Linked DNA regions of Arabidopsis thaliana. The protein of the gene in region 1 interacts with the protein of each later gene in a pairwise test. Each region holds a gene or a part of one and is shown in the gene's direction. Other genes may lie near its edges.

What was found. Proteins that work in one complex are often made in the same cells at the same time.
Region 2: the proteins of AT5G37478 (region 1) and SUR1 interact in a two-hybrid assay, tested with the Arabidopsis thaliana proteins (one large-scale study listed by BioGRID).

Annotation. Positions count from the first base shown.
Region 1 is NC_003076.8:14,878,681-14,885,050, forward strand, and holds AT5G37478 (TPX2 (targeting protein for Xklp2) protein family), read left to right. Parts: upstream 1-2,735; 5' UTR 2,736-2,879; coding exon 2,880-2,921; exon of another isoform or gene 2,922-3,138; coding exon 3,139-3,198; intron 3,199-3,683; coding exon 3,684-3,743; intron 3,744-4,145; coding exon 4,146-4,244; coding exon of another isoform or gene 4,245-4,327; coding exon 4,328-4,387; intron 4,388-4,728; coding exon 4,729-4,823; intron 4,824-4,998; coding exon 4,999-5,119; 3' UTR 5,120-5,314; downstream 5,315-6,370. Other genes in the region: AT5G37480 (maltase-glucoamylase, intestinal protein), read right to left, coding at 5,797-5,961, 6,328-6,370.
Region 2 is NC_003071.7:8,876,982-8,883,273, reverse strand, and holds SUR1 (Tyrosine transaminase family protein), read left to right. Parts: upstream 1-2,833; 5' UTR 2,834-2,975; coding exon 2,976-3,319; intron 3,320-3,575; coding exon 3,576-3,915; intron 3,916-4,041; coding exon 4,042-4,260; intron 4,261-4,347; coding exon 4,348-4,407; intron 4,408-4,489; coding exon 4,490-4,645; intron 4,646-4,774; coding exon 4,775-4,868; coding exon of another isoform or gene 4,869-4,948; coding exon 4,949-5,124; 3' UTR 5,125-5,387; downstream 5,388-6,292.

The DNA of each region.
Region 1 (6,370 bases):
TGTTAAAATCCTGTAAACTGATTTAAAAATTCTCAACGTAAACACAAACTTGAAGAAAAAGGTCGAAAAGACGTCGTATCCAGGTTAAGATATTGTAGTCCCGATTGTTTTAGACGCAATTTTTTAACCCTTGAATGACGTTTACAAACAAATAGTTTTACAGTTAATCTGTGTAGATTAAATACAAATCCAAAAGTGAAGGATTTCTTCCATTTTCATCTTGGATCTTTGTCAGTTTTCAGATTTAAGTCATTCAAAAGTTTGCGCTTGATTAAAAAAATAAAAATAAAAATATTTGCACTCAACTGCTTGTATATATTCACATTTCGTGGTGACATTTCACAGAAAATCAAAGGGATGCAAGTGTAACGCAAAATAAATGGTCTAAATGGAAATGACTGAACATCGGAATACGTCGAAATAACTGAAAATTAGATGATTAAGTCGTCTATATATATATAGATAGATAATTATATATATATGATATATCCAGTTGTTTAATGGAATAGCTAGTGGATTCACACATATATTAAAAAGTAATATTACGTTATATGAATAATAGTTTGGGTGGTAATATATAGAGATATTCTTCCTTGGGTTTTCTGAACTATTAAAAATGTAAATGATTAACTAAAAAAACTTTAAAACAAGATTATTATAAATTTAGTTTTTTAAATTAACATGGTTAAAAAATAACAAAAAATTATATGTAGCTTCATTTGTAATAGGATTAGCGGATATTGATATTTTTAAAAACTAATATCTAAAATTATTGATAGTTAGGAATTGGTCTTACAAAGTTTGAACGTAATCTAAAATTATCTAAAAGCTATTAACATTACTAAAATTATCCATAAGTTCGTATACCATGTTTTTAAAAATGATCCGTAAACCATGTTCGTTCACGTAGTGATTCATATATCTGAATTACCTTTTTACGTCCTAAATGCCAAAAATATGTGGATATTAAATTGAAATGAGTAATGAAATAATGTAACGACAAGTTAAATGATTCTCCCATCTAGAAAAGTTAATTAAGGGGAACAATACAAAGCCTCTTTGACATCGAGAAGTTAGCGCGCGATTAACAACATATGATTAAATAGTTCAAAATACAACTCCCAAATGTGAGATGGACGCTATATACGAAAATTACGGACGTGCATGAGTGGGAGGTTTAATCAGAAAGTTTGTTGCATGAGAGCTCCACCAATTTGTTTTTTTGTCGGACAATATCATCAATCTGAAATCGGGAAATATGTGTTTATCTATGCGGGGAATATACATTTCATTCTTTGAAAGTATGTTTCTAACTCTTTTGGATTGAAATGTATATTGGGAATACTTATTCAATCAAATGTGACAAATACTCCTGGCTACTACGAATATTGGTTACTATATCTTTATATATAGCTTTTTTTTTTTTTTTTGAATACCAGAAGGTTCTGGGCCGAAGCCCGTAATCCCTCCAAACCCGAAATCACAACATGTAATATTAATTTTGTCCCAAACATCATATATATAGCTATTAACTAATCTATATATACATTTTTGCAGCCATTTTGTGAAATAAATCCTGGAGTTGGAACTTATTTACAATGGCTGCCACTGACTTTTAATTATTGGTTTTTTCAGCAATAAATTGATTAACAAACGAAAAACATTCCAAATATATTCCAATCCCATATATCACGCAGATTTTTCCAAAATTTGAACTCGATTTCGGCAACTATTTAAAACAAAAAATGTTTGACAACCCAAAAGACAATTGCAATCCCTTAAAATGAGCAAAACGCAACTAAATATATTTCTTATCAATTCACTAAATCTTATTTCTCCAAAATTTGAACTAGATTTCGACAACTATTTAAAACAAAATTTTGTTTGACAAACTAAAACACAATTGCAATCCCGTAAAATATTTATTTTAATTATAAATTTAAATTAGCGGGGTACCGCAGTTTTTTTAACAGGACGGGTTTGGTGGAACGGGTTTGGAAGGACGTTACTTAATAACAATTGTAAACTATAAAATAAAAATATTTTATAGATAGATATAATTTGCAAAATTTTATATATACTAATTTAGAAAAATAAATTGTCTTCGCGGTGTACCGCGGGTTAAAATCTAATATTAGTTTACTTTTGTTTCTACCATAACATCTACACGATTTATTAAGATTTGTCATCTCTTATAAGTCGAGTTTAAGAAAATTATTCACACGATTCAAGTTCTCGATTTGACTACGATAAAAAAAATGACACATCTATTGATTTTGTAATGTTTTCTTCAGTTTATCATGCTTTGGTTTCACTAATGTGAATTACTCTATTTTCCAGTTCTATATATAATTAATTAATGAAGTTTTCAATAACGTTGCATCATCATATTGTTTTTAGAATCTTGGTACATTAGTAACATATATTATTCTTTATTTTTTCATTTATAATATTGTAACTCAGTAAGATTTACGTTTACATGCAATCAAAATAGAACACACATAGCTACTTATGTTTGACTTCACATTACTTACCAAAATAGTATACCGATAGATAATTGTCATTTATTCATTTATATTAACAAAGAAATCTATGAAGAAAAACCTAATTAAAGCTTGTTGCTGATGTAGCAACAGACGCCACTTAAGACAGTTACTAATGTCCAAACTTGTATATGTGTGTTTGCTTCGTCCTTCACTCTATAAATTCACTTCATTTCTTCTCTACTTTCACTCATCAAGTAATATTTTTATTTCACTTACTTTTAATTTAGAGTTCATAATAAGTTGTGACAAACAAAAATCGTAAAGGAGTTTGGCTTTTGGTTGAGTTTTTGTTTTTAACAACTACTTATTATTATATATCTCTTTGGCCTAAACATGTGTACTGGAAAATCATCATACACAAAATCCTCTCCCAAGGTTATTCAATAATTGGTTACTTTTTCTTTATCTACTTCAATAAGTGGTTACTTTCGTTGTTACTTTTGTGCACGTATATTTGTATACACACATTTCACGTAAATATTTTCACACGTTTATGTATAATTGGGCACGTTTGTAATAATATATACATGAAACTAAAACAAATTAAAGAGGCTTACATATTGACAAAGTGTTTTGTTTCGTGTCTTCAAAGTTTGGGAAAACAAGTCCTACTTCTTCTGTACTCTCCCTGGGTTCCAATGGTAAAGGAATGGTGAGGATACGATTCCATTTTTAATTTCTTTTCTTACATTATTTTTCTCCTATTGAGGCATTTTTCACATTAATCCAACGATCACATTTTCATCAAAAACTTTTTTTTTTACTGTAGTCTAAGTTTGGCTATATAACGTCATTTGCCAAAATTTTATCCTAATGTCCATCACATTAAAAAAAAACTCAAACTATGTAACGTCATTTGCCAATTCCAGCATTATATAGTTACCATTTGATATATATCCTAATGTCCCAACAATTTCTACAGTTTTCACAATGCCAGAAGTGTAAGTATGTGTTTTTATAAAAACATTGTTGTGTAATTCAAGAAATGGTAAATCAAAGTACTCGTGAACTTCTCAGTAAAAGTTTGTAAATAATGAGTAAGAAAAAGTATGGTGTTTCGTAGTTTGTACATAAATACTACAGTATGTTAGTATAGTTATCGTAGCATAATTGAATCCCTACTTAATCTAATTGTAGACCAAAGTGGAACCACTCAAAGAAAGAGCCCATGACAAAACCAAGGCAGCCACGACTAAGGTACCCAAATAGAGATTCTATATATGAACAATTTTGTAATTCTTTCTAATAAATAGAATCACAACTATCCACAATATCTTTAGCCCGTAAAAGAGAAACAAAATGCATATGTTACATGAATATATTTTACCCAAGAAAATATAAAAGTTACAACTTACAAATACTCTCATCTATGTCGTCCTCGTTTTATTAAGGTTTAGCTATGCTTGCATGCATTAAACACAGATTTTCTCAAATTAATTGCTTGGAAAAAATTCTACAAAATTTTCTTAGACGTATACTTCATTTATTAATTTTTACTATTAATTTTGTTTTTTTTTTTTGTTTTTTTACTATCAAAAATAAAAATATTAACCTCACAATATTACTTCTACCGTTGACTTTTTTTGTTTTACTAATCAGAATATTACAAAGGCACCAGCAAAAGAGAACAAAAAACCTCTCGAGTTCAAGCTTCATTCTGGCGAGAGAGCAGTGAAACGTGCAATGTTCAACTATTCGGTTTACACATACTTCCTCAATATCTCTTATTTAATCATCATATTTTTTTCAACTTCCATGGAGCTCATTCATCATCTTGGCAGGTTGCAACTAATTATTACATCCAGAAACTTCAGAAAAAACAAGAAGAGAGGTTGCAAAAGGTAAATTACAAAAGAAAAAAAATGGTTTACTATTATTTGGCTTGAAAACAACCTTAAACAATTTAAACCGACACACACCGTACTCTGATTGGTCTTGGACTCTTGGTCTCTCTTTGGCTGTAAATTTACGACGACTAAACATAACTAGAACCTCTCTATTTATATGAATCATGCTTGTCTAAAATCGAACATTTCACTTTCATGACACCAAGACCACAAGTAGATATAGAACGGAAACTACTCTAACTAAAACAGTGAGAAATTTTGGAATTTGGTATCCCTTGGTTTGAGAAGAATACTCGAAGTTAAGCCGCGTTATTAAATCGAACCATATGTAACAGATGATAGAAGAGGAAGAGATTCGCATGTTGAGGAAGGAAATGGTTCCAAAAGCTCAATTGATGCCTTTCTTCGACAGACCTTTTCTCCCACAAAGGTCAGTTTATAGTTTACAAAAATCTAGTTTCAAGCTATCTATAGTTTATTCTATAATCAAAGAGATAAATTTAGATAGTATATTAACAAATTGTATAATAGAAACTTTCTGAAATAATATGATATTGTTATGTAACTAATTTATTTTATGTTGAAATAAATATTTGGGTGTATAGATCGAGCAGACCATTGACGATGCCAAAAGAACCAAGCTTTGGAAACGTAAACAGCACTTGTTGGACTTGTGTTTTCAACAACCAACACTATCTTTACCATATTAACCATGCTCATGCTTAAATCTCGAGTAACTAGCTCACATAGAGGCTTTTTTCTAATTTTCGTTTCAAATCTTTTTTTCAGTTTACTTTTATTTTTGTTCTTGGCAGCTTTTGTCTTTTTCTCTTCCCCTCTTCTTTTTTTTCAGTATAATATTCTGTAATTTTTTTCGTAGATTAAATAAACGAGTAAATGCTGATTTGAAGTACTATTGGGTCTGATTTGAAGTAGACAATATACTCTGCCATTCTCCATTTCTACATCTAAGCCTGGGCAAATAAACCGAACCGAATGTACCAAACCAAAACCGAAACAAAAGAACCAAAAATTGAAAACTAACCAAATAGATACTAAATTCTATAACCGAAACCGAATGGATATAAACCGAAATATTTTGGATAACCAAAAATATCCGAAATATAAATATATTTTTGAAAATATTAGTTATTTTTACACTGAATAATTAAAAATACTCGAGAATATATATAAACTTAGTAAAAATACTCGACAAAAACGAGTGCCGGAAAGGAGCAGAGATAGGAGGAAACACATAACCAGGGTTGAAAGCCAAATTCAGAGAGAAAAGATTCCAGAGCTGTTACATCCCCAAATCAATGAGTGATAGATAGAGGAAAACAAAAAAAAAGGTTTTTGGAGTTACATCTCCAAATGTCTGTGTTTGAACAATGTCATATTGTTTACACGAAAGAGTTGTTAAAGAGCAATATTAATCTAGGAAGGTTCTCAAGAGCCACTGTGAAGAGGCCACCAAGAATAAACATCAAAACAAATGCAAAAAATATCCTCCCAATGTATTTCAGACTTTGCTCTCCGATTTCTGGTGTTGAATCATTTGCAAAACCCTGCAAAGCAAACCACAAAACACTTCAGCATTTTCCCACAATCCGATAAACTACAGGGAAATCACATAACAAACGCCAAGTGATATGAAACCAACACCATAATCTCAAGCAAGAAGAAGTTTACAGTTATTTTACAGTCTACCAAGTCAACTGTTTCAACATTCTTCTGTTCCTTATCGAGCTCATTCTCTATATTCTAACAGACGTATGGTTCTAGTTTTTCTACACTCCTACTTAGGCTTTGACAATGAAAAGTATTCTAAGTATAAGTTAGATACTAAACTGTAATCATGCTAGCATCAACTATTCAGATATTTATAACACAATATCACACTATGAAGCTACTAACAAACTCAAGATACTTACCGTCGAAAATACAGAAGAAAACCGCTGTTGTCGATTGTTTTTC
Region 2 (6,292 bases), on another chromosome or scaffold:
CTTACTTAAAATTTTATCCAAGAAGCAAATGCTAATGATTTTAGCTGCTCACTGACTTTGGATAAACACTCATAGATTGCATTCTTAGAAGATATTAGATCATTAAAAACTCTTTGCAAAACAGTAAGAACATGTTGTTGAACATCACTTTTTTAACCGATTTGATAAGATCTTGTATATCTTTCACTCGCTAAAGTGTTTGTTCTATAACTTTTTCATGGTTTGACATTGTAAAACCTAAAACATTCAAAACACTGAGTTTTCAGAGTGAGATGTAGATAATTAATGATTAGTCATTCATAATTATAAGCTTTAGATTACATAGAATTATATAGTAAAAGAATTTTCTATCTATAATGGATAGAAATATATAAATAATAAATATAAAATATTCTTAACAAAATCTTTCAAGATATTTCTTGTCAAAATCTATCAAGATTTATAAATAATAAATATAGATTACATGGAATTATATAATTAATGATTTTCCAAGATCTTTCTTTATTTTTATTTTTTAATAACTTCTAGCAAAATCTTGACTCTTAAATGACCAAGGAAATTTGTTATATAAAAAAAAAAGTTACCAATGAACTTTACTTTTTACACAAAGCTTGCACCTCTCACACAAACTTCCACCTTTCTCAATGTCAAACACAAGATAAGATCTAACTTGATAGAATGCTTAGAAGATGCAAATAATTATGCAAGAGATGAATGAAAGAGAAAGCTAAAATGTAATCCTTGATGTACACATATCTCCATGTCTTTTAAGAACTTCAAACATTTCCTCCATCAAAGGCATGATGAAATAATCTTTGATGTACACACATCTCGATGGATCACGATAAGGGTTAGGCGCATCACGAGAACACCCTATGAACGGCCTATCTTCTTTAAGTTGTAGTTCACTATCCATGACATATATTGCATTGCTACTTTGTGGTTTAGACCATATCAGTAATGGTCTTCCTTATCAAGAGTGTTTCTCTTATCTAGACTTGCAAAATCAATCAAATCTTGAGGAGAACAGAGTGTATCATCACGTCCATCAAGAAGCCTTATAACTCGTATGAGTTCACTCACAACAATGGCCACCACACATCTTACAAAACACACATAAGAAAAAACAAAAGGAGTTAAAAAAGTGAAGAAAATATTTCAATATCATATCTTATCTATATTACAATTAGAGTAGTTGTATTGTAAACTTTTCAATATTGTTTTAAAGATTCTCATATGTACTTCATATATATGTCTCTTTATATTGCAGCATATAATAATCTTTTCTCTACAAAATATTCATTCATATGTCCATTCCTTTTTCTCTTGCAACTTAACTGTGTTCTTTCTGATCTCTTAAAGCTTTCATTATTATCCTTCAATCAGCTTTCAGTAAATCTGGGATTTTGAAATAAAACTACAAGAACAATAATAAATTGTTAGACCAAACTTGTTTCATAGAGAAAAAAAAAAGAATCTGATACACTTACCTAACATGTTGACCAAGATGCAAATGTAGATTATTTAATCGTCCTCCCAGCTCTCAAAAAAAAACCCATATCTTTAGCAATTTCTTTCAAAACATGGAGAATATTTTTTCGAGCATCACTTATACCAACCAGTGATTCAAGAAGCTGGTGTAGTTCAAAAAGTATAGCCCTCACTCGTCGACGAACTTTAAATGAAAGTAATGAAAATCTGGTATTAACTTGAAACTTTCACACTTCTCTTCCACTTTTATCCTTTCACACTAGAAAATTACAATGTGCACAATTATAGCCGTTTCACACTTCTCTTCTACAATTTTTTTTTTCACATCAAAAAATTATTTCAGGTTTTTGACACATATTCCCAACAATTTATTTTTCTTAATAATTAATATAATTTTTAAAATATATCAATGTACAAAACATAGGCTCCAAATGGATGACAAATAATTGAATATTTGGGTGCAAATGGTTGCACAATTTAAAAGGTTGAAGAGGTTAAAAACATTATTCAATTAATCTTCAGCATTTTAGTTGAAAAAGTTGAAAAAATTATTCAATTCATTCAACTTAAAAAGTTGAAAAATGAACAAATTATAAAGGAAAAGTGTTCAACTTCTTGATCCACATTTTTGGAGATGATCATTCAACCCCAATTTTGTTCAACCTAATAATTTCAACTCATTCAATTTTGAAAAACCATTTGTACAAGTTGAAGATCTTTCAACTTATTCCTCTACAAAAAGGTTAAACAATTTTTCTTTATAACTTTTTTGGTTGAATGGATGAAATTAGTTCTTAGTTATTTATCTCAAATAGTAAAAACATAAGATGAATGATCATTTAACTTTTTATAACCTCTTATTTTCAAACAACATTTGCACCCATAGTCTAAAAATAGAAATTTGTTGACCAAGAAGAATTTGGTATCAAATGAATATTTTTTGTGGCTCAAACTTTTATTCTCTCTTTAAGTAGCTGAAAAATTAACGTTGGAAAGTGGGGTCTACAGACCTTTACGCCCATTTATTTACGCTACAATGGTTTTCTAATCACATCCTTAATCTTACAATTTGTTTGATAATAAATCTACTAATTAAATTTGACGTCACAAATCACAATGCACTGACGCCCATTAGCATGTTAGTGACAATGTAACCAAACTGATTCATCACATTTCAAACTGAACTCATTCCGGTTGACTAATCGGTTGGGTTTTAACTCGCCAACTATTCTTATCAGGCCAGGCCCAAACATTCCTTCACAAAGCCCTGCCAATTTGATTAATTTTTGTGGCACGTGATTTTAGTTTTGTGTTAGGTCTCACCAAGATTATTGATCACGTTCCATAATTCAAAACTTTGCATTATATACCAAAAATCCAATCCGTATTGAAACTTCATTTGTAAAGTTTTTTTTTTTCCCAAATAGTACTTTTTTTTTGTTTGGCCTTCTTATAGAAAGAAGAACTCAAAGCACAGAGAGAAGATGAGCGAAGAACAACCACACGCCAATCTAGCGGTTCCCGCGTTTAAAACTGAGAAAGAGCCCATAACGCAAACACGAAATGGTCAAAGTAGCGTTTGGCGTTTCGGTGGAAGTGATAAGGCAGCGAAAGCATCCACCGTAACGCTTAGAGGTGTCATCTACATGCTCTTCGACAACTGCGGCAAAGACGTCAATAAGACCATTTTACCCCTCGGCCACGGTGACCCTTCCGTCTACCCTTGCTTCCGTACCTGTATCGAAGCTGAAGACGCCGTCGTCGACGTCCTTCGCTCCGGCAAAGGCAATTCTTACGGTCCCGGAGCTGGGATTCTCCCCGCAAGACGGTAACTTTCTCACTCAATTCTCGATCTTCCACTCTAATCGAACGATTCTCGATCTGGGTTCTTCGAATTTCATCGTAATCGGAGTCGTTTTTGAGTCAACGGCGAATCAATTTTGACAAAGATTTCAACTTTAAGCACACTCGAGTATAATCTTACAATTGCCTTTTAGACCCTATAGTTTTAGTATTCTTATAAATTGACCCCATAACTTTTGAATAGATCTACATTTTGTTGATGTTTGCTCTGTTGTGAACAGAGCCGTTGCTGATTATATGAACCGAGATCTTCCGCACAAGTTAACGCCTGAAGATATTTTTCTGACCGCTGGATGCAACCAAGGGATAGAGATCGTGTTCGAATCGTTGGCTCGACCAAACGCAAACATCTTGCTCCCACGTCCTGGCTTCCCTCACTACGACGCTCGTGCTGCTTACAGTGGTCTCGAGGTTCGCAAGTTTGATCTTCTTCCCGAGAAAGAATGGGAGATTGATCTTGAAGGTATCGAAGCCATTGCAGACGAGAACACTGTGGCTATGGTTGTAATTAACCCCAACAATCCCTGTGGAAATGTCTACTCTCACGACCATCTCAAAAAGGTTTGTGTTTTTGTATCATTACACAAAAATGCTCATCTTTTTGACTCATAACTGAGGCAAAGCTTGAACCTTTGAGGCATTTTTGATTCGTAGCTCGCTAAAGATTGCGTTTTTGGTTAATTTTAGGTTGCAGAGACGGCTAGGAAGCTCGGGATAATGGTGATCTCAGACGAAGTATATGACCGAACTATATTCGGAGACAATCCATTTGTTTCAATGGGGAAGTTTGCTTCGATAGTCCCTGTATTGACACTAGCAGGCATATCTAAGGGATGGGTTGTTCCTGGATGGAAAATTGGCTGGATCGCCTTGAATGATCCCGAGGGCGTTTTCGAGACCACCAAGGTTTGTTTACTGCTACTTCTTTTGTATCCTCTCTTGCTGTTTTGTAACAAGTAATCTCACTGTATGTTTACTCTCTGTTTCTGACAGGTGTTACAATCCATCAAACAGAATCTTGACGTAACTCCTGACCCTGCCACAATAATTCAGGTTTGTGTGTTTTAGATATGTTTTAGAATCTTTGCAAAACTAGTCTATGGATTCATGACACTACTGTATGTTCCTTTGATAGGCTGCACTTCCAGCGATCCTGGAGAAAGCGGACAAAAACTTCTTTGCAAAGAAGAACAAGATACTCAAACATAATGTTGATTTGGTGTGTGATAGGCTCAAGGACATCCCCTGTGTCGTCTGTCCCAAGAAACCTGAGTCTTGCACTTACTTATTGGTATAACTTCTGTAACGACACACATCCACAAATGTAGTTATGATCGGTTTTCTTTAGACTGGTGCTTCTTGATCAATTTCAGACCATTACTAGTCTTTCAATCTGATGAATAGTTTTCACTCACTGCAGACAAAGTTGGAGCTGTCATTGATGGATAATATCAAGGACGATATAGATTTTTGCGTAAAACTGGCCAGAGAGGAGAATCTCGTGTTTCTACCAGGTAAAATAATGAAACTAAGCAGCATGAGTCTTGATTTGAGTTTTGATACTAAAATGGGGTTTGTGGGGAATGTTTTGCAGGGGATGCTCTGGGTTTGAAGAACTGGATGAGGATAACCATCGGAGTCGAAGCTCATATGCTTGAGGATGCACTTGAGAGACTGAAGGGTTTCTGTACACGTCATGCCAAGAAGACAGAGACAGAAACTGAGTCACTTCAAGCTTTGAAACTGAGTGATAATAATCTCGAAATGTAAAACAGAAGAGGATGTGTGTGCCCAAAAGAATATTCTTATGATAGATAATTTTGATTCTTGCTTTTCCATTTGATTTCCCAAAGTATTTGATTATCTACATTAATAAAAACTATGGTTATTTGTCAAATAGCAATATTGGGAACATAAATGAAGGATCTAGCATCCATGAAAGAGAATTTCTTTGTTTTTGATTACCTTGTTCTAACATTTATGCTATTGGTTTGTGCATATAAGTAAGTTCACACGTTTGTGTTTTCTTTTGCAAGCAAGTTCATATGTTAAATTTGGTATTTGGATACAAACTCATTCTCATAAGATTATTTTTTTTATTTTTTTTATTTTTTTTTGGTATACAAACTCATCCATGAAGTTGGATTGAGAAATTGCATCCAAACTCTTTTAGAAATCAAAATATTTTGTTAACGTTATTTTCTAAAAGATATATCACATGTCATTTTCTTTTTTATAATTATTAAATTTCCAAAAATATATATATATATATATATATATATATATATATATATATCACGATTTAACAATGAAATGAAAGATTTCAGAATTATTATTTGGTGCTAAAATATTTGAAATGATTTTATTTTTTTAATCTCAAAAATTACAAAATATATAATAAAATTTTAGTGGTGGCATACTGGCATTGCGATTTGATGATCTTGACCTCATATATTGTGAAACTACAATTTCTTTAAAAAGAAAAATTGATCATAGGAAAATTATTGACAAACAAATTTTGCGTCATTTTGAAATAGATCCGATATTCATCTAGTTTACAAGCTAAAAAGAACTTAATATCTATACATCCATATGCAAAAACTAACTTTATAAACGAACAATAGGGATAATTAGCACTCTGATACAAAAAAATGAACAAGTAAATATATGCATGTTGACAATATATGTCAAACTTTTTGTAGATCTCATACATTCATATAATTCATTATACTTTTAACGTGTAATATAACGTAGACTAAAAATTTGTTGATCAATAATTTCCAATAATATCATTCTTAAGTCGTTAAAACCAATTGTTATATTGGTACTAGTTTTGTATAAATATCATGTATTAATCTCTTATCTTATATGTAACTTTCAGGATTTTTTTTGGGTTAATCTTTCGTACTTAAACAGTCAGCAAAGATATATTTTTTTT